Linked DNA regions of Rhinolophus ferrumequinum. Each later gene encodes a partner of the first gene's protein in a complex. Links are inferred from orthologs where the notes say so. Each region holds a gene or a part of one and is shown on either strand. Other genes may lie near its edges. The genes, in order: RAB11FIP2, RAB25 and RAB11A.

The links.
Region 2: the proteins of RAB11FIP2 (region 1) and RAB25 are in contact, whole or in part, in a crystal structure (PDB 3TSO), measured with the Homo sapiens proteins. The link is inferred for Rhinolophus ferrumequinum from reciprocal best matches to the Homo sapiens genes RAB11FIP2 and RAB25. Residues at the interface, in NP_055719.1 of Homo sapiens: Arg475, Glu478, Ile481, Asp482, Asn483, Leu485, Val486, Met489, Pro493, Ser494, Leu496, Arg497, Val498, Pro499; in NP_065120.2 of Homo sapiens: Arg34, Ile45, Gly46, Val47, Glu48, Phe49, Ser50, Thr51, Lys62, Trp66, Arg73, Arg75, Ala76, Ile77, Ala80, Tyr81.
Region 3: the proteins of RAB11FIP2 (region 1) and RAB11A are in contact, whole or in part, in a crystal structure (PDB 2GZD), measured with the Homo sapiens proteins. The link is inferred for Rhinolophus ferrumequinum from reciprocal best matches to the Homo sapiens genes RAB11FIP2 and RAB11A. Residues at the interface, in NP_055719.1 of Homo sapiens: Glu478, Ile481, Asp482, Asn483, Leu485, Val486, Met489, Glu490, Pro493, Ser494, Leu496, Arg497, Val498; in NP_004654.1 of Homo sapiens: Arg33, Ile44, Gly45, Val46, Glu47, Phe48, Ala49, Thr50, Lys61, Trp65, Arg72, Arg74, Ala75, Ile76, Ala79, Tyr80, Arg82.

Annotation. Positions count from the first base shown.
Region 1 is NC_046299.1:10,943,092-10,952,804, reverse strand, and holds the start of RAB11FIP2 (rab11 family-interacting protein 2), read right to left. Parts: upstream 3,870-9,713; 5' UTR 3,511-3,869; coding exon 3,158-3,510; intron 1-3,157. UniProt on the Homo sapiens protein: A Rab11 effector binding preferentially phosphatidylinositol 3,4,5-trisphosphate (PtdInsP3) and phosphatidic acid (PA) and acting in the regulation of the transport of vesicles from the endosomal recycling compartment (ERC) to the plasma membrane.
Region 2 is NC_046305.1:672,879-682,261, reverse strand, and holds the start of RAB25 (ras-related protein Rab-25), read right to left. Parts: upstream 4,320-9,383; 5' UTR 4,066-4,319; coding exon 4,023-4,065; intron 922-4,022; coding exon 726-921; intron 1-725. Other genes in the region: ragulator complex protein LAMTOR2, read right to left, coding at 5,502-5,558, 5,770-5,859, 7,424-7,586, 7,881-7,948; UBQLN4 (ubiquilin-4), read left to right, coding at 9,099-9,206. UniProt on the Homo sapiens protein: The small GTPases Rab are key regulators of intracellular membrane trafficking, from the formation of transport vesicles to their fusion with membranes.
Region 3 is NC_046289.1:45,039,837-45,049,899, forward strand, and holds the start of RAB11A (ras-related protein Rab-11A), read right to left. Parts: upstream 4,178-10,063; 5' UTR 4,026-4,177; coding exon 3,986-4,025; intron 1-3,985. UniProt on the Homo sapiens protein: The small GTPases Rab are key regulators of intracellular membrane trafficking, from the formation of transport vesicles to their fusion with membranes.

The DNA.
Region 1 (9,713 bases):
GCTTGAAAGAATGAAGCAAGTCAGGGTTTGAATACAATCTGTAAATGTAAATACAATATTTTCCATTCTGCCCCCACCAAAAAAAAAACTTGTGAAGAACTTCAACAAATATACTAATTTAACATATAGGCATGACAAATAACCTTCGCTGCTTTATTTTGAAAATGATATAACAAGGAAGTCTTATTGAGACCTTCAAAAAGCATCCCAGAGATAAGAAGTGTTTTCCCAGGCTTCAAAAAGATAACATGAAGACACAGCATTTGGGACTTAGTGGATTAATGCTGATTTTTTTCACCCCTTGAGTGTTGGTTTTAAACTGTGTATGGCCTCTGTTCAATTTTTAGTGGGCACAGGTCCATGTTCAAAAACCACCACACATGTGGGAACTATTCCCAAGCAATTGGTGCTGTGTGGTCAGAAATAGGACAAGATTGGCAGTAAGGGTGCCAGAGGCCAGGACGCAGGTGCACTGCAGAGGAGCACACAAAAGTCCTAAAATCTGCATGTGTTTGAGTCATACCTAACTCTAGGGACTCTGATTGTTATTACTTTTCATGAGTATTTAAAAAAAAAAAAATCAACATCACCCACTTCTGTTATAAAAAAAAAATCAAATAGATATTACATAGCAGCATGAACAATTTTACCATTCTATTATTAAACGTATTATTTCCTTAAATCTCGTGCCAGAACCAACCCAGACACCCATTAAAGTGGGAGATACAGAAGTTCTCTTTCTATGCCCCACTCAAAGGATTCAGGCTCAGAACCCTTTTTCCCTTCTCCTTAAAAGAAAAGAAAAAAAAAGTCATTTAATGTTAAGGTATAAAAATAAGTAATAGTTTTAGCTGTCACACTTCTCCTATCATGACACAACTGGAAGACAAGCTGTAAATACTTGTCTTCAGTGTCAAGAGTAAAAAGTGTCACACCCAGCAGTTTCATGGGACTTCTAAATCAGCTGGTAACCTTCATCACTCACTTGAGTTTTCTAAAAAGCACTTGGGAATCTGCTGACAAGGTTCAGCCATGTGCAGAATATTAAATATCTTTCTTGCAATACACCGGTGGCTCAAATCTGTGTCTTGCTGTGCCACATGTACAGCTGTGCTGGAAAAGGAAACTATTAAATATATTAAAAAACCAGAAATATTAGCAATAAAGATATCTCATCAAATATGTGGTCCCCATTTATCCACAAAGAAAGAAAACGTGAGGGATTTAATAACATATGAAAATCACTTTGCATGCAATAACCTCGCAGCCCTGTTGATAACATTTTAAAGCATTTCCCTCCCCAAACGTTCTACGCAATTTTATATAGTAGCCAATAGAGAATTTCCACAAGGAGACTACAGTATTATTGTTTACAGCTAAATGTATTGTAATTGTGATGCTGCTGAAGATAAGGAGTAAAGGAAGAAGAAACTTGAAAATCTTATTTCATCCTCAGAATCTCTGGGTTCACAGGTAGGCCTACTTTTACTTGGAAAATTTACATTTCAGAGAAGGCCTATAATACATCCTTCATTAACATGGAAAGTACTGTAAATGCAGTATGAAATTTGAAGTTACAGTGTACTTACAAGTGTACATTCAAAGTACTTAGAATATTATATAGTGCCATCCAAAATTGGTAATTTGAAACAAATTATTTGATAATTATCCACTTTTCAATTTAATTCTGATGAACTCCTCAGAGGAAACTGAAAGCTAGTTTGTAGTTATCAAACAGTTTTATAAAAATCATTGATATATAGTCAACTTTACACTTTTTAAAACTTTTTTCTCTCCTTTTTTCTTAAAATATTTTCACCTCTTTAACTAGTCTCAGTATTTACCATTGTTCATCTACCATCCCTGGTATGTCTCTCTCTACCCTTTTACCCTACACATATTAAACCTTAGGTAAAGATCTGATTCAAAACCTTTTTAAAATAAAAATAAAAACTCCAATCAAGAGAAACTTGCAGGAAGACAGATATGAATAGAAAAGAACAAGAAATGGTTGTTTTAAAATACAAGAAATCAACATAAACTTCAAGAAAGTTATCATTATAGAAAAGTTTCTAAAGGGGTAAATAAATTTCAGTTATGACCGAAAGAAACACCAAAGTTATTCTGGAAATTTGAATTCCTCTTATAAATTCCACCTATATTTTTTTCTCTTATTAATTCCATCAATTAAAATTATGTTCTCTCAGACTAGAAACATATTATAAGTTTAAAGAAAGGGTGAATACACCTATCTCTGAAAATATACTATTTTTCAACTTAAGACATAATATCTTAGTGTTAAGTTATATTATGGCTTTATTAAATTAGAATATATCTATACGAAACTTGAAAGTCATAATAAAAAGGTCATGTTTTCCTTGAAGACATCATTAAATCATTTCATCACAAGAGTTTAATCACTGTTTCAATATGACAGCATTTAATGTGGTCTAAACACACTGGCTATACAGAACTAATTCTGAAGTAATACACCAGCTCCAATATATTGTAAATTCAAAGGAAAATGTTAGTGTGTTCAAGGTGAGGATGTCTGTTCATACTTTTAAAACTTTTTTCTTTGAACAGCTTTAGACTCCATCAAGATGTACTGACCCTGAAAAATGGTTGAGCTCAAATAAAGGCCAACTGTGTTTATGATGCTAAAAGGAAATACTGAGTTCTAAATTTGACTATTTTTTGAGAGCTTCAGAGTTACACACACACACACACAAACACACACACACACGGATTATATTGGCAGACTTAGTTTTCTGCTATTTCATCTCCTGGAAAACTGTAATGTTTAAAGATCATAAGAAATTACACACGTTTTAGTTGGTCAACACTGTGATCCAATCCTCATATAAGTAGAAAACGATGTTAATTTACTTAAAATCCCGTGCAAAATATTCAATTACATAAGATGATTACCTCAAACCACTGAGAGTAAGGAATTATTAATGACTCCATTTAAAAAATATTTCTTCACAAGGGCTATTTTTACTTCCGATTCACGCAAATGATGGTGCTTAAAACTGGGTCATATTTCAGTCCAAAAACCAACGCCCCAGGTATACAAAAAACTTCCAAGAACAGAAAATCCATAGAGAAGATATCGTTAGACTCCCCCAAATTCAAAATAAATTATACAACTTACTCTGTTTTCCTTCTTTGTTTGTCCTCAAAGATGTCATTGAGATTGATTGCCACCTGCCCTAAAAACTTATCCAGACCCACCAGGGACCTGTGCATAACTATCAGGAAAAGAATGTATTTCTCTGGATTCCCCTGCATGAGCAATCCAGGTAGCTCGAAGGAGGCCTCCTCCTTCCAGACTGGCTCAAGGGTTTTCTCAGCGACAGAGGTGGAGTACTTTTCCTTGCCCAGCTGAATTATGGTGTATGTGTCATTGGTGCCACTTTTGCCTTTTGGCTTAAGATCTTTGGCTTGAAGCACTGTGACCTGCACGTGGGTTGGAAACCACTTTTGGGCTTGCTCGGACAGCATCATTCTGTCCTTTTTCTCTGCCCCGAGTTCCCAAGCGCAGGCAGCGCCCCTCCGGCAGGGAGAGCCTAAAGCCGAATCACTGCATCCTAAGGGCACTTAACAGAGCCAGGCAAACTGACAGCTGCCCAGCTTCCCCGTGGCTGATGTCAAAGCGCCTCAACGGGGCAGCTCGGGGACATGGCTGCCCTGGGGTGGGCCCCTTTCCTCAGGAGCAGCACAGGGGCCCACCATCACCTGGCCGCGCCGTCTCGGCCCCTGCGCGGACCCCCGCCTCGCGTCCGCACCTTCACGCTCCGCCGGCCCTCGGGACAAGCCCTCGGCGGCGGCGGGCGGCTCCCCGGCCTACCGGCCGCTCAGGCCTGGCCGCCAGGGCTCGGGCGGAGGGCTGCGGAGGTGGCAGGGCGCCCCCTCCCTGCAGGCTACAGCTCGCTCGCCCCAATTCGCAGCCCCCGGCCCCCCGCCCGCCTCCTCTCGGCCGGGCCGCCCTCGCCGCCTCCGTGCCTCCCGCCCGCCTCACGCTAGCCCGCGGGGCCTGGCCTGGGCTCCTCCTCCCGACCCCGGTAATACGAACCGCCGGCGGCTCGCGCGGCCTCGCTCGCTCTCGCAAACCTCTCCCTCCTCCTCCTCCTCCTCCTCCTCCTCCCTCTTGCCTCAGCTCCGCCTCTCGGGCGGGGGCGGGGGCGGGGGCGGGTCGCCTGGGGGTGGAGTGGGACGTGGGGCAGGGAAGCCGGCCGCTCTGGCGCCAGCAGGCCGCGGGCTGCCGGGCGGCGGGCACCTGGCTCGGCCTCGCCCGGCCCGCAGCTCCTAGCACCGGGCGGGCGGTGGCGGCGGCGGCACTTCCGGGTTGCTTTTCTCCATGTTGATCTCGGGAACGCGACGGGGCGGGGCCGGGCGGGGCCGCGGGGGTTAGGGGTCAGCGCCTCCCTGGTTGCTGTGGCGACCGGGGGCGCGCGACGCGAGCTCCAGGCCTACGGCGGGGTGTTCCGGGCAGTTGGCGTTGGCTGCTCCGGCCTGGCACAGCCCGGGGTCCGGGGACGGTGGGGCCTAAACCCGCCGGCAGTAGGAGGAAGGGGGCGAATACGAGGGGGGCTGGGGACCGCTCCTGAGAGGTGTCAGTTAAGACCCGGGGCCTGGCCAATCTGGGGAAAGACCCGATTTCAGTCTTTGGAAGCCGACTTTGCTGTACCCTGGATGCCCAGTGCCTGGCACAAAGCAGGCTTTCGAGAAATGGTGGTCGAGTGAATCAGTCCCCTTCATTGACCGAAAACACAGTTTCCCTCAACTCTTTTCCTTTTGATAAAAGAGAAGGCTGTTAATTGACTGGAATCACACCACACACAAACCCAAGAAAGAGAGGGAAGCAGATAAAAGATTCCGACAGTAACAAGAATTAATAAAGATGGCAGGAGGCACTGGGCTGGAGTCCTAAGATCTGTATCTAACCCCATGTCTGCCACCATTAGTCTGTATGACCTTGGTCAAGTCATTTTCCTTCCCTGAGCCTCAGTTTCATCACGGGTAAGAAAACTTGTTTAAGACCCATCACAACTCTATGGACTCCACGTCAAAAGGAACCTTTGGGGTATTGCAGTCTGGAAGACTGTCCAACGCGGAAGCCAAACCCAGAGATCATTCTGGTCATCACCAACTAAGAAAAACAGCCTCCTTCACCAAAAGCACAGACTTACTTGCTCCTGAGGGCAAGGCCTGATGGACCCCTTGGAATGAAAGGGGCTTTGTTAAGAGAAGAAAATGGGGAGATGTTAATACTGTGCTTTTTCCGCACTAGCCTGATCTAGTGGGAAACATGCATAGCGGCTGATGAGTCGGGAGCCTTGCTTGATGCCTCAGCTCTGCCAGAAATTCAGTACATAGCTTGCGATGGGCGCTTAGCCTCCGGAGGCAAGGAATTTAGATTCTGGGAACCACCGTTCCCTTGTCCATAAACTGTAGATAGAGTACCTATTAGAGAGTTGGGAGGCGTATTATGAGAATGTACATTTCCTAGCAGTGTCTCCCTTTGCCCATTTCTCAATTATAAGACTTACATACCACCTTTATTGTTTTTATTTCTGTTCATATTTTATTTTCTCAAGGAAATTCTAAATTCTTTGGACTGCCGTAGGGATCATCACTTCACAGTGCCCAGCGTGCAGTAGGCACACAATTTATTGACTGACTTAATGTCTTTTCTCCCTTTACAGAACTAATTTTGAGAGTAAAACAATATGATAAATGTGCATACACTTTTCCAATTTAAAATGGCGATAAAAGTGTAAGGTATTATGATTATTATTTTCAGGCAAGGTGTAAAACTTTTCCATTTGAGGAGGACATTATGTTCTCCATGTTTTTTAATGTTTACAGGATAATAGCAGTAGCACTTAAAAACTAAGAGTCTTTTCTTTAAATATTTTTGAATGGAGGTATATTGAATGGGCCCAGTATATTTGTGTCAAAAAAGCAACCATAGAGTTGAAAAACCTTGGGCAGGGGTTGAGGGGAGCAAAGAGGATAACATTATCCATTATTTTAATCTTATAGAAGGAAGATACTTTTCTTGACTCCAAAGGATAACACCACAAACCTCAAAGACCACCCAGATTCCAGCACATTCTTTGAAGGACCCACTGACACTTGTTAGTGTCTACAGATTTCCTTTTACTTATTGGGAACTCCAACTTTTTAATGCTGCTTACACACAGTGGCTTGTGTGAGTTCTGCATGAAGTGGGCACTTCAAAAGAGACTAGATTAATTTACCACCAAGATCTTCAAGGAAGCAAACTACAGATGAATCTTGAATAATCCTGAGCTAGATACCATCCAGAATGAAAAGACCCAGTTTTAGGTCATTCTACTGGAATTTTACTATAAAAGAGGCAGAAATTTTTATCTTCGAGAGACATTGTATGAAAAGGCCATGTGTGGGAAACAGAGAAAAATCACTCTGCTGTGAATATAGCATCTGGATCCCAGAGTGGGCAGTTGTCAACTTTAAAGAAAAATATTCTTTAGGAACTATTAATTTTTAAAGGGTGCTTTAGAATAGCCACTGGTGGAATTTCAACCAGGATCCCCAGAGACAAAACATTTGATACTTAAAACTTGTAAAAACAAAATAAGCATCATGAAAACAAATTTAGTTATGTTGCAAATTTTTATAAATTGCATTTTTAAAAGTCTTCATGTCTCTATTAAAGATTGTAATTACATAAACATGGGTAATTAATTATAATAGTGAATGTGTGTTTCTAAAGAGCTCAAATTGTTTGGCAAGCTTTATTAATGATTATAAACTTGTTTACAAGTATCATTTCACTCACCTCTGAAATACAGCCATCTCGGGGATGGAAGTTGGCAGGGCTAGTTCACAACAATGCAATAACATACTCCAACAAAATTCGGGGAATACTCTTAAGGCAGGAGCTAAACAACTGAAATTATTAACATCTCTTCCTGTAGCATCTAAATTTCATTTGAGTTTTCCCAAAACCTGGTTAGAGCCAAATTTTTTTAATTTTACTATTTGGCAAGATCAGGAGTTATGACTTAATGTTTGTAAGCCAGAATAAGAAAATAGCATATTTTTGCCCAAAGCAAGCATATAAACAAAAAAAAAGATAAAATGAGCTACATAGACTTCACAATTGCATTGTGAAAGTGAAGTGATTTCCTATAAGAAGTGTTTTTTTCTTTTTTAATCCAATTAAGAGAGTAAAAATATATCAGTTGGGTCACATATATGGTTCGCTCACAGTGAAAAATCATGGCAATTACATAAGATCTGGGATCAAAGTGGTTCTGCAAAAATGTTTATTGTCGTACAGTTTTAAAAATTCTTCTTACTAATTTTAAGATATACGTGGACAGTAATCTAAAAACGGAAGAAGGATTGCATACTTAAGGACAACAAATCAGAATCAAAGACACTTTTTTTATTCTAAGACTAATGACATTTTCCAAATGTTTAGTATAATTCTAAATTCGAGAGCTTGGAGAAATAATACATCTTAAAGGAGGAAAATGCTGAAATTTCTAATTTGAAACTGTTACAGTGACTGATGTAATGAATAAGAACAATTTGACCAGAAGGTAAAATAGTCAATATTTAGTCTCCAATGGTGTAGGACTACACAGATGAAAATATTTATTAAGCACTGCACCTTTCAGTAAAGTCCCATAGGAGACTTATTCCAAGCACTATGAAATAATATTTCCCTTTGAGCATCAGCAGCTCTAAAATTGCCACTTGCAAATCTATTGTAGGACAATTATAAAGCTCTTAGTGTTTAAATAACCCACTGGGTCAAGAGTAGTTATAATGCACCCACATACGATATGGATCAGATATTAATTATTTTCCAGTTGGAGTTTCCAAAGTTCCATTACAATCTTCATACTTTAGACACACACAAACACACACACACACATCAAATATATATACAACTCAAATATATATAAAATTTGTACACATATATATGGCAAAACTTCAGAGAACCCAGATTAATCTCCACATAACCAGCTAAAAAGTAAAAAACTATTTGGCAAATGGATTTAAAACTGTAATTGTAATAAAGTAGTATTCGGGGAGTTTTGGTAATTGTTCTGTTTTTATCACTGGGCTGATGCATTTGTCTTCTGGGACTGGGCAGTGTATGGACACAGTTTGTAATGCATGAACAGTGTGGTATGTCATACTATAAAGAGCTTCAGTCAGCAGCCTGGGACTTAATCCCAAGTCTGTCTATTATTACTAGCTACATATCTTTAGGGAAGTAATTTTCCTTCTTTGGAACTCTGTTTCTTCATCTGTAAAATAAGAGTCTCTAATAGGAACCACTAAAGCATTCTCTAACATTTAATAATTCTAAGTAGTATATCCACAACACAAAAAAGCAAATTGCATTATAATTATGTAATTGAATTTGGTCAATATATTAAAGCAGATTCCTTTTTTATGTAACTTATTAATGAAGGCTTCTCTAATTCAGGAGAAAAAAATCCTCAAGAATGTCCTGAGAGCTCTTTCTCCCAAATGAAAATGATCATTACGGAAAGGAAGTAAATATATCTTTTATTAACAGGCCTTGTGTGAGGAAATTGACCCTAACAGCTCAAGATTAGGAAGAAATTACAAATAGGTGCAAGAGGTTTTGAAAAGCTTCAAACTTTTCACTTGTAGTAATAAACATAACTTTGATTCATATTCTTTGTAGCTTTTTCAAACTATGAAGACATGTTGAGGAAGGTAAGAATTTATGTAGCAGAATACATTTTGCACAGAAGAATATTTTGTGTGGATGTCTTTTAATTTCCTCTTTACGGTATCATAGTATTATGTCATGCAATTTTTGTTTCTTCAACAAAATCAACACAGATTAACAATGCATGGACCGTGAATTGATTTACTTTAACTGTCAGACGGTATTGGGTCAGATGAATAAGCCCCATTTGATCTTTTTTCTCCTTCCAAAGGACGTTTAAGTTGTTTCCAGTTTTTCACCATCATAAACAATGCTGCAGAGATACCCATACAGGTCTCCTATGCACATGTGCAGATAAATTTTTATTTTTTTATTTTTTGGGTTTTTTTGGTAATCATGCCTCTTTTTGACAACTGACAATGAAATTATTGGGAGTTTGTAAATGATAGCGTGGAAAACCCATGGGCCTGAGCATCAGAAGGCCTGATTGCTAATCCTGCCTGGCTCTGCAACTAAGCAGTTGTGGACCTGACAAGTTATACTCTTTTTGTGCCCCTGAGGACCCTTCCACCTCCAGAATTCTCAAAGTCCTTCATATATATAAATATATATATATGTATAATATTGTATATATCATATAGTACATACAATATATAACATACACAATATAATAATATAAATTTTACAGATGTTTACAATATATAATATTTTATGTAGATATGATTTTATACAATACAGTGAATTTTTATATATGGATTTACTGAAAAGCAGAAGTTAATATATGTTAATTTATATAGATATGATTTTGTTTCTATATATAATAGTAAATTTATATATAATTACTGAAAAGCAGAGATTATTGTTATTGGAGAAAGGTTTTGTGACTACTTAGGTATATATCTTCAAGTTTCAGTTGTTTCCTCATCATGAGTCTTTCTGAAATCTTCCAGAACATTGCTACTTATATGGATTTATGTGGAGGTTAACAAGGACGGGATAA
Region 2 (9,383 bases), on another chromosome or scaffold:
GGGCCAGCTAAACACTGCCCCCGAGCAGTAGCCCTGACTGGACATGTCCTCACAAGCACCTAGCCCGGGTCCTCGAGCCAGCGGGAGCTTCTTCTGATGGTGACATCTAAGTGCTCCCGTTTTACTGAAGACTCAGTCCACTGAGGCTCGTAGAGGTCAGGTGAGCGACCCCTTAAGAGCCCCTGGCAGGCGCTGCCCCCACCACACACACACAGACCCCCTTCTCACATGTGGCCTGACACTGGCTGGGAGACACTCTCCTGTGGTGTCCTCTGAGTCTTTGTAAAATGCAGCAGAGGGGTCCAGCCCTTCACCTTGGTGGTTAGACCGTGAGGGTTGCAGTGCTTTGTGAGGGTGCTCTCAGCCCCTGGACCTGCCCCATCCCAGCCCCACCTGGATTCACGGGCTTGGGCCTCGTGACGGCAGCCCCTCACGGCCATGGTACCCAGAGGATGGCACAAAATGCCCAGTGTGAGGCACCTGCGCCTTTCTGGGCACACAGCAGAGGCTGTGGTGGCAATGACTCTTTTGGGTCCCAGTGGTCAGGATCACTAGACCGGGCCTCAGACTCTGTGTGGCTCACAGTACTGGTGTGTCCTCAGCCAGGGCTGTGGCGACCTGCGGTCCCTGCAGGGTGCACATGGCTGTGTGCCCTGCTTCCTGTGCCCCACCTGTCCTCTGGAGGTGTCCCCTGACCTCCCCAGCACCCCCAGCCCGGGGCTCACGCCGAGGTGATGGCTCGGTACCGCTCCAGGCCAGCCGTGTCCCAGATCTGAGCCTTGATGGCGGCGGTACCCAACATGACAGTGCGCGTGGAGAACTCCACCCCGATGGTGGTGCGGCTGTCGTGGCTGAACTCATTGCGCGTGAAGCGGGACAGCAGGTTGGTCTTGCCCACGCCAGACTCTCCGATCAGCACCACTGAAGGAATGGAGAGAGAAGGGCTGAGTGGGCAGAGGGCCCAAGCCTTCCTGAGCCCCGGGGTCTGCCCACCAGCAAAGGGGAGCTGAGTTCAGAAGACCGAGGAGGGAGCTGAGGCTCCTGACCGCTGGGCTTGCTGAGTCCATCGAGGCAGAAGGGCTGGGAGCTGGACGCAGCTAAGGGTCTGGTGCTTTCAAGTTCCCAGGCCCGTCCATTGAGACAAGGCTGCAGTCAGCCTGGGTCCGGGCTGAATGATGTCTGGGGCCTGCTCGTGGGTGTTACATGGGGACGTTAGCAGGGCTGTGACTGCACAGGGATGGCAGGCCTGGGGGAGGGTGCACATTCCCGGCTAGGGGACACGTTGTTGTGCTTGTTTCTCTGTACATGAGCTGGGAGGATAAGTGAGAGGCTGGGGTGTGTGTTTGCACAGGAGCAGAGGTGTGACTAGGAATGTGGGTGAGGAGAAAGTTTGGCACATGGCACGTCCGGAGGTGAATGTGTAAGAAGCTATGATCCAGTTGTCCCCTAGCAGGGTCCGTCTTGCAAGGTGAAGACTCTGGGGCTGTGTGTGTCCCTCAGCAAGTTATTTAACCTCTCTGACCTTTTTCATCCGAAAAACGGGAATAACACTAGTACCTGTCTTGTGGGTTGTTGCAAGAAGTAAATGAGACATTGCCAGGATGTGGTGAGTGTGCAAAACCGTTACTGCCATGACTGTGGTTGGTGGGTCAGTGCGGTTACCCTCAGGTTTTCAGGGGCAGGGAGCCGCTGGGGTCCAGTGGCGGCTGACGTAAGCATGACCAACACACTGCCCGGTACTGAGCTGAGCAGCAGGACGAGAGGAAGTCAGTCATCGGGGTGGTTCTGGAAAGGCATGCTGGTGCCCAGGGACTGGTTCCCTCTCAGCCTCTGACTAGCTATGTGACCTTGAGCAAGTGGCTCACCTTTTCTGGGTTTGTTTCCTTGTTTATAAAACCTAGAAATGCACCCGCCTCCAGCTTAAGGCATTTCTCATTTGTGTAAGGCAGGAAAGAGCTGGGAACAGTATGGCTGTGTGTGTGTGTGTGTGTGTGTGTGTGTGTGTGTGTGTGTGTGTGTGTGTGTGTTCCTGCCTCTCCCCTGCAGGGAAGCTCATCCCCACTCACCCTGCTGGGGGGTGGAGGCCTAGCCTTGTCCTCAGGCTCCAGAGGCTCGGGCCTTTGGTGTCAGACAGACCAGGGCTTGTGATGCCTTGTGACCTTTTGTAAGCTACATACCCTGTCTCTCATCTGCGTCTGTGAAATGGAGATCTAATTCTTAACATTTATCTCAGAGGCTTTCCACATATGAAGTCACTTCATCCTCACAACAGTGCCACAGGCAAGTGCCATTAGTTCCACCGTTGCATTTTTTACAGACAAAGGAAGGAGGCGCTTGGGGGGTTAAATGACTTGAGCAAGATAACATAGCTAGTGCGTAAAAACACAGGTGTGCTGCCCAGATGTGTCCTCCAGGAAGGACTTGCCCCAGCCCAGGGAGTGCAGTCAGCAGGCAGCCTCCAGCTGCCCGCTCCGCTCCTCCAGCAGCTGCCTCCTCCTGCGTGGGGCAGACAGCTGCCTCACCCGAGGTCACGCGCCCTGGGCAGCCTGCATCCAGGGCCCCAGCAAGGCAAAGGTATTACGGGGCTCCCGGCCCATTGGCTAAGGCTTGGTGACCCTGTCTTGCGTTTTCACTTCCCTCTCTGCCCAATCCTGTTCCCTCTCCCTTCCTTTCACTGGTGTTGGTCCATAATAAGCATCTTGCATCCTAAACTTCTGGAGACCCCGCAACCTGCAGTAGGTATTAAGCGGCAGGGCTGAAATCGGAAGGCAGTCTGCCTCCTGACCATTACGCTTTCAAAATGAAAGAGAACTTTGGGGGCTGTTGTGGTGATTAACGAGCCAGCGGCTAGCACACAGTAAGGGTTCAATAAACAGTAGTTACTCCTGTGTTTCCCCAAAAATAAGACCTAGCTGGACAATCACTTCTACTGTATCTTTTGGAGCAAACATTGATATAAAACCTGGTGTTATACTATATTTATTGCATTATATTATTATACATTATATTACATTGCATTATATTAATTATATTACATTATTACAAGACCCGGTCTTACAGTAAAATAAGACCGGGTCTTATATTAACGTTTGCTCCAAAAGACACATTAGAGCTGATTGTCCCGCTAGGTCTTACTTTCGGGGAAACACGGTAGCAGTGTGATCGTCCCAGACTATTGCTAACCTTTACCCTGTCTCCCTTCCTGGGAAAGATGCTGGGAGTACAGGTTCCCCAACCTCAAGTTGCCTGAGTCCCAAGTGAGGGCGGGGCTGAGGCTGGGAGAGGCAGTGGGGTGGGGTGGCTGGACAGGGAACCACAGCCCCGCCAGCCCACCCTGCCCTGAAGGGGGTGAGGAGGTGGGGGTGGCGAACAACGGGGGAGGGGAACAGGAGGACGGGACACAAACACGGGCTGAGATAAAGAGCAGGAAAGACACGTGCACACTTTCAGGGACAGCCACGCTGAACCCAGTGCCTGGCTTTACATGCCAAGGGACAGACCGAGGAGGCCACGGCCCCAGGAGCCCTCAGAGTCCTGTTAGCCCCTGCTCAATGCACAACATCTTCCCTATATCTCCACCTAGCCCCATGACAGACAGAGCGGGACCCTCCTTTGTCCCCTTTTCTGTATATCTGCCCAGAAAAATGACTTTCTTCCCCATAAGTCTGCCTGAGGGAAGTCCTCTCTGAAGTCTGACCTCCGCCCCTTCTGCTGCAGTGGCTGACTATTCCTAGGGATGTGGCATTAGGAACGGGCAGAGGAGCCTCACTGGCACTCTTAGGGACCGAGGAACACATTATTGACACAGTAGAGCATTCGGGCCGCCCCAGACACCAGACCTTCCCAGCTCCCTGCAGCTTTCTTTCTTATCCAAATGATGAGCCCAGGGGGTGGGGGGGCGGGGGCAAGAGGGTGGATTCCTGGTTAGAGATTAAAACCAAACAAAATAGGAGGCTTTGCCTCTGGCTCTGTTGGTCTCTTTCTGGGTTTCTCAGGCCTCCTCTTTCCGAACCCCAACTCACCCTTGAAGACAAAGTTATAATCTTCCTCGGTCCCGTTCCCCATCTCGGCTCCACATAAGAGGGTACAAGTGTCTTCGGGGCACAGGTGACTGTCTCCGCGTTGGCTCAGCACCTTCAACCTTCAGCTCTTAAGAGACCTGGGTCCACCCCTCCTCTCATTGGGGGTAAAAGAATTTCCGGCCGGCCAGAGGGACTGAGGGCCTGTGTCAGGCCAGGCAAGGCCTGGGGACGCTCCGCTCTGGCAGGTAGGGGTGCTGTAAGGAAGCTGAGAGGACGGAAGCTGAGAACAGGAAGAGCAGGGCACTGGAGACCTGGGGCCCAGGTGGGTGGAGACGGTGACGTCAGACAGGTTAGACAGGTTGGGTGTCTGCTCTCCGCCTAGGCTCCCGCAATGAGGTGAGCAGGCTCCAGGGGGTGGTAGTGGGGAAGCTGGGGCAGACGGGACCTTCCGAGAGACAGCTGAGGACCGAGTGCCTGGCGCTAGGCTCCTAGCACCTGCAGCCCAGGGGGGCCCAGCCGCCAGTAAGTGACAAGGCCCCTCAAGGAGCAGAAGCTGGCTTGGCCTCCTGCTTTTCCTTTAGAGCCTCTGGTGGGGGCCCCAGGGGAGAGGCTGATGGGGTGGCAGTCACCTATCTGTGCGCAGAGCTCTGGGAGTTGCATCTTAGGCCCGGCAATTCCTGCCCCTCCCAGACAGCTCTGGGCCTGGGAGGGGCAGCATTTCTCATACTGGGTGGAGCTGGAACTTGCTACCTATAGGCTTCCCTGCGATGGGTCCCTTTCTATAGCACTGGGAAAGGGGCTGGTAGCTTCCCGCCCACACCTGCTCTAAGGACACAGGTAGGAGGAGACCTGGACAGAAACAGCCAGGTGGGGTGAGGGGTGCAAGCGTAGGGCCAGGGTGAGGACACGAAGGCCTGAGAGGTCTTCTGGTTTCTCCAGATCCCTGCCCAGGACCTGAGGCCTCACCGGAAAGCAATGGTGTCTGCAGAGGGCTTCGAGACCTGGAGCTGCGCGTCAGAATGTGAAGGCCTTGGAGAGGAAAGGGGTGGCCCCCTCCCAACCCCAAGAGTAGGAAAGGCAACCCCGCCAAAGTCGGGACCTACGGACACTGCACTCCCTGGCTCTATATTCTCTTTGTTCAACATGACGCCCACTGGCCCCGTTCCTCGGAGCTCACTTCCAAGGTTTTGCCAACCAGGTGGGTGAGACTCTGAGTGGCGAGGGCCAGGTGAGGCCACTCCACTGGAGATTCTGGTGGGGGCGCAGGACATGAAGAACCCGTAAGCCAGTCCTGCTCCTTTCCATCCCCTGACTCCTCCCAGCCAAGAAAGCAACCAAGACGTAAGACAGGACTGAAATTTATTCTTGGAAAAAACAAAGTCCCTCCCCTCCCCCCACACACCAGGAAGGATTCCCCAGGGGGCCCTGCCCCTCCAATGGTCATCTCTCTTGCCTGACCCCAGCTTCCACCAGTGCCCCTTACGACGCTGCTACCTGGGTAAGAGGTTCTTCCAGGTACTGCACCAAGGCTTGGGCCTGCGGGAGGGGGAGGAAAAGCGTCCCACATGTGGCCTGCCACGAAAGGGACCCCAAATCCAGGTCGACTCCCCATACCGAGCACCCAGCCCCCAGCCCCAGTGGACAGGGACTGGGTGACATGAGGACCCAGGAAGGCGGTGGGGACGGGAGTGGACCCTGACGGAGCACAGGGGCCGGGCCCAGGTGGCGGAGCAACGAGCACACATACCTTGGCCTTGAGCATCCCGAAGCCGACGGTCTCCTTGGCATACATACACAGCAGTAGGTTGGCCACTCGCGTGATGGCCACACGGCCCTCCTGGTGGGGGTGACATCGTGGGATGGGAGGCCCTGCTTGGCACCCTAAGCCCCCTTTCCCCACGGGCTCCTCGTGAGACAGACTGTATCTTCCTTCCACGCCCCGGGCAGGGTTGGAGCTTCAGCTGGGGGCTTTGGCCACAGCCCTGGACATGGGGTCCTGTGCCCAGATTCCAGCCTCAGCACAGCCACGAACCAAGTCACCCCAGAAAACTCAATCTCCCAGAAACTCGGTTCTCTTTCTGTAACCCCTACCTCATCCCAGTTGCTGAGGGTACTAGCACACGGGAAGGAATTCCGGGCTCTTCTAATGGGCTATGTTATTATTATGGGTTCACCTCCAAGACACTATAAGAGGCTTGAGAGCAGAAACCCCACTCCTAGTTCTCTTTTCCAATGGCAATGTGTTTCAAACTGCACACCCGACGTCCGGGTTAGGAGATTAATTAAGAAGGTTGATTAGCATCGAAAGAAAAAAGGAAGGAAAAGAAGAGAAATGAAGAGAAATGCATTGCATGTAGTCAGGGAACTTGTTTGAGCGAGTGATTGTTTGCACGGGGCTCCAGCATCAAATGTGTTTCTTACAGCTGGGCTGTGGTCAAATGTTTGAAAGCTATTGCCCTATAGCACTAGGTCTGAGCTGGGCACCCAGGAGTCATCGGCTGAACTGGAATGCATCCTTGGCTGGAATGGGGGCCAGGAAGTGGTAGGTAGCTGAGTACAGTGGAAACCCTTCATTCTTGCGGCCTTCTCAATTCGGTTCAGCAAACTTTCACTAGGTATCCAGTGTGTGCTAGGAACCATGTACTGCCTGTCTGGCATCATCTATCATCCTCCCCCCATTCTCATGCCACTCCAGCCACATCTCCCTTGTCGATCTGTGACCAGGCACCTTTCTGCCTCAGGGCCTTTGCACTTGCTGTTCTCTCCATCAGAAATGTTTATGCCCCAGACAGCCACATGGCTTGCCAACTTCTTTCAAATCTGTGATGAAATGTCACCTGTTCAGTGAGATTATCCCTGGCGCATGCCACCCTTATCTCAATTCCTTGCTTTATTTTTCTCCATAGCGTTTTTAGAAATCTAACATACTATTTTTTTAACTTACATATTTTTTCCTTCCTCAAGGGATTAGACAAGGGTCTGGAGACTCTTATAGGCCTGTGAGTCAGTGACTCTGGCATGACAGCACTTTGTGTGTACCTCACTCTACAGTTTACATCCACTCTGTTAGTTGATCTTCACCACAGCCCCTTGAGGTGGGGACCGGGGTTTATTGTTTCCACCTCAGAGAGGAGATAAGGAAGCTCAGAGAGGTTAAGTAACTTACCCAAGGTTCCACAGACGGTAAGTGGCTGGCTGAGACCAGAACCCCAGGCAGACCCGGGGTCCAGGGCCCCTTCCTCACCACTGTGATGCACAGGGTTCTGCCTATGATAAATGGTGCTGCGGGCCAACTCTTAGCAATCTTCCCGAGATCCTGCCCCTCCAACCATCCGGGACCGGGTCCAGGTCGCCCCGGGGATCCCTTTGGGGGACAGAGGAAGTGGCTTCCCACTCCATACCATGCAGTCCATGAGGATGAATTTGAGATTGTCTTCATTAAACGCTTGGTTCCCGTTCCGGTCGTAGGCGGCCCAGATGTTACTGGCGATGGCGGCGGTAACCCGGGCGTCAGTATCCCCGTAACCAGAGTAAGCCAGCAGAGATCCCTCGTTATTCAGCAGCCTGGCGAGGAACCGGAAGGGGCAGCGACGTGCTCAGGATGGGGAGTAAGAGTCCTGGGTTCCCATCCCAGCTCCCGCCACTGGCGCTTCTAGAAAGCAAGGGTCTAGGTTGAGTGTGTCCTAGAAGGTGCCCAGAGCACCCAGGCCGTCGCTTTCCCCTTTCGAGAGGGGCCCTCCAAGGCGGCTGCCCACTCTGCCTCCTCCCTTCCCGGAGATGTTTCCCCACCCCTCCCTCGGAGAGCCGCGCGCTGCCCGACTCCAGTGCTCGTCGCTCGGGTCCTCGGTCCGCACTCACAGGGTGCTCTGGACACCTCCAGTGTTGGCTTGGCTCAGCACCTGGGTCAAAGCCTTGGGACGTAGCATGCCTGCAGCTCCCAAACCTGGGTTTTTGCACCCAGACCTCCGAACTGCCTCCTGCGGGCCTCCGCCAGCCCTTTCCGGTAGTTCAGCTGACCTGCTCCGGAACGCCCTGGGAGTTGTAGTTTCTCCGCCTGGTTTTGTAGTTTTGACTCAACCCCGCTTTACCGCGGAGGGCACTGGGAATTGTAGTTCCTTGAGGCCTCGTGAGGCATCCTGGGAACGATAGTTCGCCTTTCCACTGAGACCACGCGGTTGTGGGGGAAAAGAGCGGGAGTGAAAGGACATTGGCGGTATTGGAAGGACATTTAACCCCCTCGGGGAGAGAAAAGTCATGTCCGCTTGACAATCCACGACTCAGTAATTAAAAAAATAAAAAAATAAAATCCCTGTGTTTGTTAGGCACACCTTTGGTTGCTTTTCAAAGCAATTTTCTACATTATGCACAATTCTGGGTGATGAAGCCATAGATACTATTGAGGAAACTAAGGCTCGGGAAGGCCATGCAGGCAAAACCCAGGTCGCTGGAACAGTACCTAATAGAGTTCATTCAGGCCACGATCCTCGGGGGAATGAAATCAATTCTAGAGATGAGATTTTAGGTGGACGTCCAGAAGTGGGAAAATTCATCCTACCAGTCGGCAGAGGCCCCAGGCCCGAGAAGGATTTGGGCTTCTCAATAAAAGACCAGCTATCGCAGGGGACGGAGATAAAGCGGCGACACAGAGTCCTTTGTCCCGCAGCGGGAGTGACCCGTGGTGGGGGCAGGAGCTGTTTTGGGTCGGAGGGGACCTCGGCTCAGCTCTGGCCCGCTCGGATGGGCTGTGGTCTCCCGTGGGGCGCTCGCCCCTCACCCCAGCAGTGAGGGACTCGCCCCGCCCCCGTCCCGAGCGCCCCAGGGGCCGCCGCCCAGCGAGGCCCAGACCAGGCTGCGGGACCCCAGGCTCGGCCCTGGGCGGACACTGCTGCAGTGGCCCCCCCAGTCCGCCCGGGGCGCTGTGGCTGCGGCTGGTCCGGAGGGGGCGGTGAAGCCTTGGGGAGGGGAGGGGAGGAGAGGGGAGTGTTGGAGGCGCCGGAGCCTAGCCGGGCCGGCGGGGCGGGCGGGGAGGAGGAGGAGCCGGAGCGGGCTGGCGGGCGGCCGGGTGGCGGCGGCGGCATGGCGGAGCCGAGCGGGGCTGAGACGAGGCCCCCCATTCGGGTCACCGTCAAGACCCCCAAGGACAAGGAGGAAATTGTGATCTGCGATCGAGCCTCGGTCAAGGAGGTACTACGGTCGTCGGGGGGAGCGCGGAGGAGGGGTCCGCGAAGAGAGGGGGGTGGCTCGGGACTGCCGGGCGCAAAGAAGGGCCTGGGAGAGGAGGGCGGGGGCCCAGACGGCACTCGGAGGAGCGAGAAGGGAGGAGAGGCGGGTCAGGGGCGTCCTGCGAGGGTAAGTTGGAGG
Region 3 (10,063 bases), on another chromosome or scaffold:
CCACTTGAACCATCAAGTTTCCAGTAATTTTTGGTTTTTTCCCTTTTTGTTTGTTTTTACATAAAACATTTTTTAGAGGAAAAAATTCTAATAGAAAATGGTAAAAAAAAAAAGTTCATGGACTCAAACTTAGTTTCTAATAAAATAACTTCTCTCATTAAGATGACAAAATTTAATTGCTTTTTAAAAATGTGCCAAACTATATGATCACATCTATAGTTCAAGAAAGGAATTTGCGGTGACTTTGCTGTTTTCCATAACTATAGTTATTTTAGGTTAAAAGTACTTAAACATTTTATAACTACAGCCATCGATGTAATGTGTATACATACGTGCATGCGCAACAGCATCTACATATGAAACAGCTACAGCATTTCTAAAATAACCTGATAATATTTACGACCACTTGGTTAACGTCTGCTGAATTTTAAGTATCTCTAATACCTAATATGAAATTTGGTTCAATATATACCAAATATTAGACTCCTAAATGTCATAAAAACAGAATATACATATGAATTATCCATTATTTAATTAAAATTCCCACCTCTTTACCCTCATTTACTTTTATACACTCTCTCGCAAGCTAATACACCGGACTAAAATTTGATTCAACAAATCAATCATAGCACATCTGACCTACTACAAGTTATCACCTGAAGGAATAACTGATAATTTCCATACTATTTTAAATAAACAAACTTAGAAATATGTTTACTCTTTCAACTATATTCATAGTCCAATTTCACCAAAAGAATTGTTAAAATAAAATGCATTCAATAAGGCTTAAGTCTAGACATGTTTTTCCAGATTCAGCAGAATCTGAGTTGCTCAACCAACAGTTGTGAAAGAAAAAAACTAGCAAGATGCAAGACAGCAAAGTTCCTACGATCATTTCCACTGACAATCAGCTGACGGCTAATTACTACCGACCTTCAATGAGATTAAAAAGAAACTGGTATAGACAATATATCTGGATATTTTCGAAAATGTGACTTTGATTGTATTGGTGTCTACCACAGTATTTGTAAATAGGAACTATGATTGATGTTTGTTTCACATATGTGTCCCACAGGGCCTTAACCACACTGTTGGTAAATACTTGTAGAATTAAAGTACTTAAAAATAAAAAGTCAAGTTTCTTAAAATAAAATTAACTCCTACCTCCAAAGTCTCAATATTCAGCTTAACTAAAGGTTAATGTTCAAGAACAAATACATCATTTAGAATAACTGTCCTGCTCTCCCTATATTACATTTCCATTTGGACCACTCCATCTTATATGAATCAAAATATCCCTTCATTTTCAACTGGTTAGTTACGAACTACAAATTCCCTCAACTATTAACTTTGCTAGATAAGCCTTCTTCCAAATAGAGCTGCAGCTCATCTCAGTAAATAAATCTCTGTTGAATGAAATCATTTTAAAATAAAATTATTATTGCTTCATTTTTGTTTAATTTTAAATTATAATTCCATAAAGAAATTGGCTAAATAATCAGCCCTGAAGTAAAAAAAAAAAAAGAACAAAAAAGTGACACATCCTGTTAAGAGCTTTAAAAAAAGTGGAAGAAATCCTTCTCAGCAGAATTTTTAAACACCCTACCTTAAACAGGAAAATGTACAACAAAATGAAACCAATAACCCATGGAAATATAAAATACTTTAGAACTTCCTAGTTTTAAGTTTCTTATTATTTAATTGCTCTTATAAAGATTCATAGGTAAAAATAACTGACAAGAACCACAGTAACTTCTTTCACATTATTACCATTTATAGAGTATTCACAGAAGTTTAAAATTTTACAGCCAGTCTCATTTCATTCTCACAACAGTCCTGAGAGGTATGTCTTGTTTTCTTTTCATAGATGAGGGAACTGAGGCTCAAGAAAGTTAACTTTCTCAAGGTTACCAAGCAAATTTAAGACCTGAGTCAGGATTTGAATCCACGCCTGTGTGATTCCAAAGCCCTGTGCTCTCAATCATTGTTAGATAGTCTAAGCCCAAAATTAAGTTAAAATTCCTTAAGCCAATCCAGCATAACATTACTAGTGAAAAAATAAATGGCTTCTATAAGCAATATTTAAGCTCCCAACCAAACAGGAGAAATACTGATAGTCTCTTGTTCTAAATTAATTATTTCAAAGGCAGCTAGCGGCCCACTGCCACTGTACCTAAATAAAAAAAAAAAAAAAAAAAATTCTCCCTTTAATGGCTGAACCCCAGTCTCCAGGGTCTCACTTAAGTAACTTCACCAGACCTCAGATGACTTCAGCAAACAGTATGTAAACTAATGCACGTTTCTTTTTTGTATTTGTAAAATGCATTAAGTACCCTCTTCTCTGTAAATGACTTTCTCCCGGGGAAAGGGAGGATACTGAAGGTACTCACAACATATAATAGAATTTTCTGGCCCAGAGGAGTAAGTGGTGATAAGAATATGTCATCAGCTAGGTTGTCAAGATTTGCAAAGTATTGGTAAAGCAAAGAAATGTTACCGCCTTCGTTTAGTCATTCTGAGCACCCAATGGCAAAGTCAGAAACTGTCACCATGCTTAACACTCTTTTTAAACTCCACCCTCCACTGTAAAGCTTTAAAGCAATGGCTTCTTCCTCCCTGGTAATGATCTTTGTTCAGTACACCACTGATGGCTGCCCTCCTAATTCAGTAAGCAAAGAAAGAGCATCAGAGTGAGGGCGCATTCACCGAACAAAAAAGCTTTTAGTGTACTTTTTCTCAGGGAAAACTGTACCCCTTTATCTGTTGATTAAAAAAAACCAAAAACCACAAAAAACTATTTGGATTCTTTCCGGACTGCCCAATAAGCAATTCTTTCTATCCATTCCCCACCCTCTAACAGGTTTTACTCAAGGGCACTACGATTCTCTCTCATAAGAAACATTTGATTTCACCAAAGAGCACACAACCCCCGCCCCCAAACACACACACACCTTTTGAGAAAGGTATGGATCCAATTAGGACTCTTCCCTTCTGGTTCTACAAACACTAAAAGGCTGGACCCTCCCAGTATTGCTGCAGGAAGCAATCAGTCCAGAATGATAAAACGAGCTCGTATTTGTGCAGCGCACAGCCTTTCCTGCTCAGGAACTGGGCCTTCAGGTCTGGCAAGGATAACAGCCACCACCCATCCGCAACCCCTTCCCGCGAGCAGAGTCAGGAGTTACCCCGGGCCGGTGGCGCCGGGTAGGGAGGGTAGGAGAAAAAAAGGTTAGGAGGGAAATCACATCACTCTGCCGGGTCACTGCGACAAGTGCGTGCGTGGGTCACTGACAATCCCTCTGGCCCTACTCCCCACCCGTGGGGTCGCACGGGAGATGTGGGAGAGCTCTAAACTACTTGGGGAGGGAAGGCAGAGAAAGAGCTACCAATCCCCGGGACAGAACTGTGGGACGGGTGGGGGCCCCTGGCCCGCTCAGATTTTCACGAGGGCCTAGCCCCGGGGTGGAAGAAGATGGCCAGGAGAGCCGCGGGTCCGAGGGGACGGGGGGAGATAAGACCTGTAGTGGGAGTCTGCGCCGAAGGCAAGATGAGGAGCCAAGGAAGGGCTGGTCAGAGCGGTTCAGGAAGGGGAGTGAGTCCAGCAGGGTGGACACTGAGGGGGAGGGGGCGCCAAATCGGAATGATACATGGTGGGAGGGGTGACCCCTTTGAAGCGGCCCTAGAATCCCGGAAAGGAAGACGATGTGGGAGATGGGAGCCAGCCGAGAGAAGGACACACGGTGAGGGGCTATGAGGCCAGCGAAGGCCTTTGGGGAGGTCCCTCAAAGATCGGTGTGTGGCGGCGACTCCCTGTCTGAGGGGAGGAAAAGGGGCTGAGCCGCGAGACCGCGGAACAAACTGCACCGAGAGGGAAGGGCTAAGGAAGGCCGATTTCACACGGGGGTAGCCCCCGCGCGGGTCTCCCGGGAGTGTCTCGGGCCCCCGAACAAGACTCGGTGGAGAGGAGGGGAGCCCATGACCTCACCTTTGAAGAGGTAGTCGTACTCGTCGTCGCGGGTGCCCATTGCGCGGCCGAGGAGCGAAGGGGCGGGAGCAGCAGTGGTATCGGTGGGACTAGGGGGCGTCGCTGCAGGGGTAACCCGAGCGCGGATCTTCAGCTGCCTGACCGGGTGAAGAACCCCTCCCTGCTGCTACGCCACTTCCGGCGGGCCCCAGCCCCTTAGGGGAAGTGCTTCCGGGGGTGGGGGTGCCCTGCCCCTGAGCCTGCGAAGGGCGGTGTGCGCGGAAACGGCGTCCGTTTTCAAATTCTTACCTCCTCCCAAAGGTTCAGAGGACAATCTGAGGCTTTGCACTCCAAGCTGATCATAGTCCTAACAGCAGCTCACCACACTCTTGGTGGCCTCTCCCTCATTCCTCCGGCCGCCATCCCGGGGCTCTGAGGAGAGCGTCAACCCCGGCTCCAAATGGTCGGTTTGTGAATGGGGGCGGGGTTCACTAAGAATTAGAGAGCCCAAGGCGGCCCGCACACGTGTGGTGGTTCCATGGTGTAATGGTTAGCACTCTGGACTCTGAATCCAGCGATCCGAGTTCAAATCTCGGTGGAACCTATACCCTTCTCTTTTTTTCTCCCTGGCCAACGTTTTTCATTTTTCTGCTTAGTTGCTAAGTGATTGTTATACAACTATGGTATATATCGCCTTGAACTCAGCGGAGAGGGAATTTCACAAAATTTAACCTTTGCCTAGGAAGACCTCACAAATTTCCCCCTTCAATTCTGTACTTTCTGTTACCTGGGTGTCTCCTAAGGAGCCTCTTCACTTCTCCCCTTTTTTAACCTGGGTCCTCTGCCTCAAACCTAATTGAAAAGCTTCGATTAAACTTGATTCCTTTTGCTAGAATTTTCAACCTCCGATATCATGCAAGGGCAGGCGCTTTTCACTCACTCCTGTTCTCGGAAATCTCCAGATGCCATTCAGATAATTTCGCCCACCCGCCTCATCAAGATTCATCAAGAACTTCTTAAACCCCATTTGTCAACCTCTAAAGCAAACTCGTTTACATAATTATTTCATTTAACACGCAGAGCAAAGGATGGCAATTTTCATTTTAGCGGAAATGTGGATACTGAGACAAGTGATTTGCCCAAGATCATAGCAGCAGGGCCTCCCTGGATTTAAAGAGAGTTTTATTCCAAAAAGTTTTTCCTATTGCTTTGCCACACCCCCATCTCCTATATGCATACCTCAATTTACACTTGAGCAGGGGTGCCTGTTACAAGCAGAATGATGGCTCCCTAAAGATGTCCACTTCCCAATCCCTGGAAACTGTGACTATGTTCAGTTACATGGCAAATGGAAATTAATGTTGCAAATCAACTGATTTTAAAATAGGGAGATTATGCTGATTCTCCAGGTGGGCCTAATGTTGTCATAAGTGTCCTTAAAAGTGGAAAAGGGAGGCAGAGGAGGTCAGAGTGATGGCAGTGTGAAGGGACTTCTAAAAAAGAACATAAACAGAGTTCATGTTCAAAATGGTGTCCAAGCTGCAATCCCAGAGGAACTACCTTGCACACCTTACGCAAACCTTTGTGATGTTAAAACTGGGCAAAATAACCTTTGGACTGGACCTAAAGCAGCATTGTATTCCAAAAGAACTGTTTGCAAAACTAACAGGAAGCAGATATGATCACAGGACTGAAAATGAAGGATATTCTTTAGAATTAGCATCATCAGTATGTTAACTTATCTGTACATATATTCCTTCCTAAGGAAATTCCTTCCTTAGCTTAACACCCATAGAAATTCCTTCCTTCTATTCATGTAATGATTCCCCTTTCCTTTCTCATAAATACTCCTTGCTTTCATTTCCTAATCAGAACACTATTTGGGTTTCTCTTTCTGAACCAGTGTTTCCCAAATAGTTATTGTTTTGGATCTCAAATAAAGGCTTGTTGCCTCTCACTTTGCCCTTTTTTTTAGGTTAACAACTTTGTAAAAAAAAAAAAAAAAAAAAGAGGAGGAGGAAGAAGAAACAACAGGCAAAAGTGAGTGGAGTCACTTTTGCTAAGCCATGTCAACAAACCAAAACTTAACAAATATGCTAATTGCAGTTTCAGCCTCTCCCAGGCATAGATTTCTAAAAAGATTTTAATTAAAATATAGCTAGCATGCACTATTATATTAGTTTCAGGTATACACCAGAGTTATTCAAACCGGGAGTAGAATTTTTAACCAATCTGTCTGGCAGTCTGGAATTTCCTCATCAATACTGTGAGGTAATCTGCTTGATAAAAAAAAACGCCTGCCACTTCCTACCCAGAAGAATGTGACCTGGCCTAAAAATAATCCTTTCTTTTCTTGTGCTAATAACACCCCTGCCATACCTTTCTGCCTATAAAAGTCTTCCCATTTTATACAACCCAGTGGGACGCCTTTCTAGTTGCGAGATAAGATGCTGTCTGATTCATGAATTGCTTAATAAGGACAATTAGCTCTTCAAATTTACACCATGGAGTTTTGTTCTTTAACAGCCTCAGCCAGCCCTTGTGGCCTTGAACATGGAATAGAAGGGGGCCAGGAGCCTAGGAATGCAGAGGTTTCTAAAAGATGGAAAAGACAAGGAAATGGATTTTTCCCTAAGGGCCCCAGAGGGAACACCACCCTTGATTTTAGCTCAGTGTCACCAAGTGTGTGGTAATTTGTTACAGCAGCAATAGAAAACTAATACAGTACCATTGTCAGTGCTTTCTGTGACAGGATACAGCAATAGGTTTATCTAAGGCCTAGATACTGCCTGTGTAGGGGTGAACATTATCCACATTGGGGAAGAAGCACAGTATTCAAGCAGCCAAATATTATGTGTACTACAGATTATTTATAAGACACATTCGTGGCCCTACTCTGGTGGATACACTAGATGGGCTCAAGAAAAGGGGAGGAAATCAATAACGAGAGTTCTGGTGATACGCGCCACAGTTCAAAGAAACTGAGATAATTCGGAAGAACTCCCTGGAGGAGGAGAAACTAGCATTGACCCCTGAAGGAAGAAGCAGGGAAAGAAACTCATTTTGGGAAGTGAAGGAATTTAGATAAAAACAAGTTGAGCAAAGCCATTGATGCCAGAAGAATAATTACGAACTTTTCCCCTTAAGTCACAGTTTCTCAATGTTCTGTCAATAGTGTTCCTCAAAAGAAGGATTGCATGGTCAAATAAATTGAGAAATACACAGTCTCTCCCTGCCGCCTTAGAAGTTCCCTTAACACATTGGCATTTTAAACACTAGCTATTTCACTCTGAAGAAATCTTTTTTTAAACTGTTGAACACAACATTTACCAAATTCACCAGAATTCTCTTCCCATGGAACACCTGTTAGCACCAGGTTTGGGAAAGCCATCAAATGTTTGTGGACAGGGTTGATTGAAGTAAACCCGGTCTTCGGAAAAGTAAGCTGGCTGTGAGCTGCAGGAAAACGGTAAAGAAAGACTGAAAGTATGAGTATTAGTTAGAAAGCTATTAGAATTAACCAGGCCCAAACTAATAGAAATAGGGTATAGCTATGGGAATAGAGAAGAAAAAGAAAAGTCAAAGGCTGTTGTGGAAAAAATGGTGAGTGGATTCCAAGGACAAAAAAGAAAATTAGGGTTTTACTTTCTTGGGTTTTTTTGGGAGAAGGGGTAGGAATTGCTAGATGTCTTTTTTTAACCTCTCAAGAAATATAAGAATTTAATGTAAATGATTAATACCAAATTATAGAGTAAATCCTTCAATTCCTTCTCCACGTCCATTCCTATTCCAACCCCAGAGATAAAACTGCTTTCTTTAAATAATATAATCATGCTCCAACCACATAACTATGTTTGGGTCAACAACAGACCGTAAGATTAGACTGTATAGCCTAGGTGTGTAGTAAGCTATACCATCTAGGTTTCTGTAAGTGCACTCTGCACAACAACAAAATCGCCTCATGATGCACTGAGCATAAAATTAGGTTATGTGAACTGTTCTTCATCTTGAAAAATCTTTCCACATTCGTCCATGCTGAGTTATTTGCTGCATAGTTTTCCTTAGCAAGCATGTACCATAGTTTGTCTAACCATTCTCATTCCCTTACCTGTGGATATGGTAAATACTAAGGGTTCACTAAATAAAAACCTATTCCTAAGTCATTTCTTCCTTGCCCACTTCCCCATTAGAGGCTGGAAAAGCCAAATGTTCATTTTCCCAGCTATGCTGAAATATTTCACATACAAATATAAAAATACACTAGCAATATTTTTAATTTTTGCCCCAGGTTTGCCCAATAATTCCCACTTCTCTGATACCTAGTGAGTATAAACTTTTTCTCTTATGTTTATTAGCCATTTATATTTCCTCTGAATTGCCTGTCAATATCCTTGTTCATTTTCTTGTTGGATTATGTATCTTATTGACGTGAATCTTATTGACGTGGATCTCTTCATATTCTTACCTTTTAATCCTTTCCTGGTTATAGCATAAATATTTTCTCCAACTCTATCACCTGATTTTTAAATTTTATTAATGATGCTTTTTTTCTGTACTGAAGTTTTAAATTTTTATTTAATCAAATTTCAGTCGTTTCTTTTTTCTTTTTATAATTTTTTTTTCAATTACAGTTGACATACAATATTATATCATTTTCAGGTGTACAGCATAGTGATTAGACATTTATATAATTTATGAAGTGATCACCCCAATAAATCTAGTACCCATCTGACACCATACATAGGCATTACAATATTATTGACTATATTCCTTAGGTTATACCCTACATCCCCATGACTATTTTGTAACTACCAATTTGTACTTCTTAATCCCTTCAACCTTTTCACCCATCCCCCTAACTCCCCTCCTACCTAGCAACCATCAAAATGTTCTCTGTATCTGTGAGTTTCTGTTTTGTTATTTTGTTCTTTAGATTCCACATGTAAATGAGATCATATGGCATTTGTCTTTTTCTGTCTGACTTACTCCAGTCAGCACAGTACCCTCTGGGTCCATCCATGTTGCAGATGGCAAATTTCATTCTTTTTTATGGCTGAGTAATATTCCATTGTATATATGTACCACCTCCTCTTCATTCATCCATCGACAGACTCCCAGGTTGTCTCCACATGTTGGCTATTGTAAATAATGCTGCAATGAACATATGGATGCACATGTCCTTTCGAAGTAGTGTTTTGGGTTTCTTCCAATAAATAACCAGAAGTAGTCTTACTGGGTCCTTCTTTGTCTCTAGTTATAGCTTTTGTTTTAAAGTCTGTTTTGTCTGGTATAAGTATTGCTACCCCAACTTTTTTATTTTTTTCATTTTCATGAAATATTATCTTTTTCCATCCCTTTACTTTTAGTCTATGTGTGTCTTTTGATCTGAAGTAAGTTTCTTGTAGACAGCATATATATGTAGGGGTCTTGTTTTCTTATCCATTCAGCCACAGTATCTCTCTTTTTCTCAATTTCAGGTGTAAAAAACAACATAGTGATTAAACATTTATACACATGTTAAACATTTAAACACAAAGTGATAACCCCAATAAGTTTATTACCCATTTAATACTGTGCATAGTTATTACAATATTATTGACTATATTCCCTATACTGCATTTTACATCCCTGTGACTACAATTATCAATCCCTTCACTTTTAATCCCTTCACCTTTCTCACCCAGCCCCTCAAACACTCTCCCATCTAGTAACCATCAGTTTGTTCTCTGTATCTATGAGTCTGTTTCTGTTTAGTTTGTCCATTTATTTTGTTCTTAATATGGTCATATGGTATTTGTCTTCCTCAGTCTGACTTATTTCACTTTCCGTAATACCCTCTAGGTCATTCATTTTGTCACAAAGGGTAAGATTTCATTCTTTTTATGGCAGAGTAATATTCCACAGTATATACATGTACCACATCTTCTTTATCCAATTGTCAGTTGATGGGCATTTTGTATGTTTCCATATCTTGGCTATTGTAAATAGTGCTGCAGTGAACATAGAGGTGCATGTATCTTTTCAAATTAGTGTTTTGAATTTCTTTGGATAAATACCCAGGAGTGGAATTGCTGAGTCATAAGGTAATTCTATTTTTAA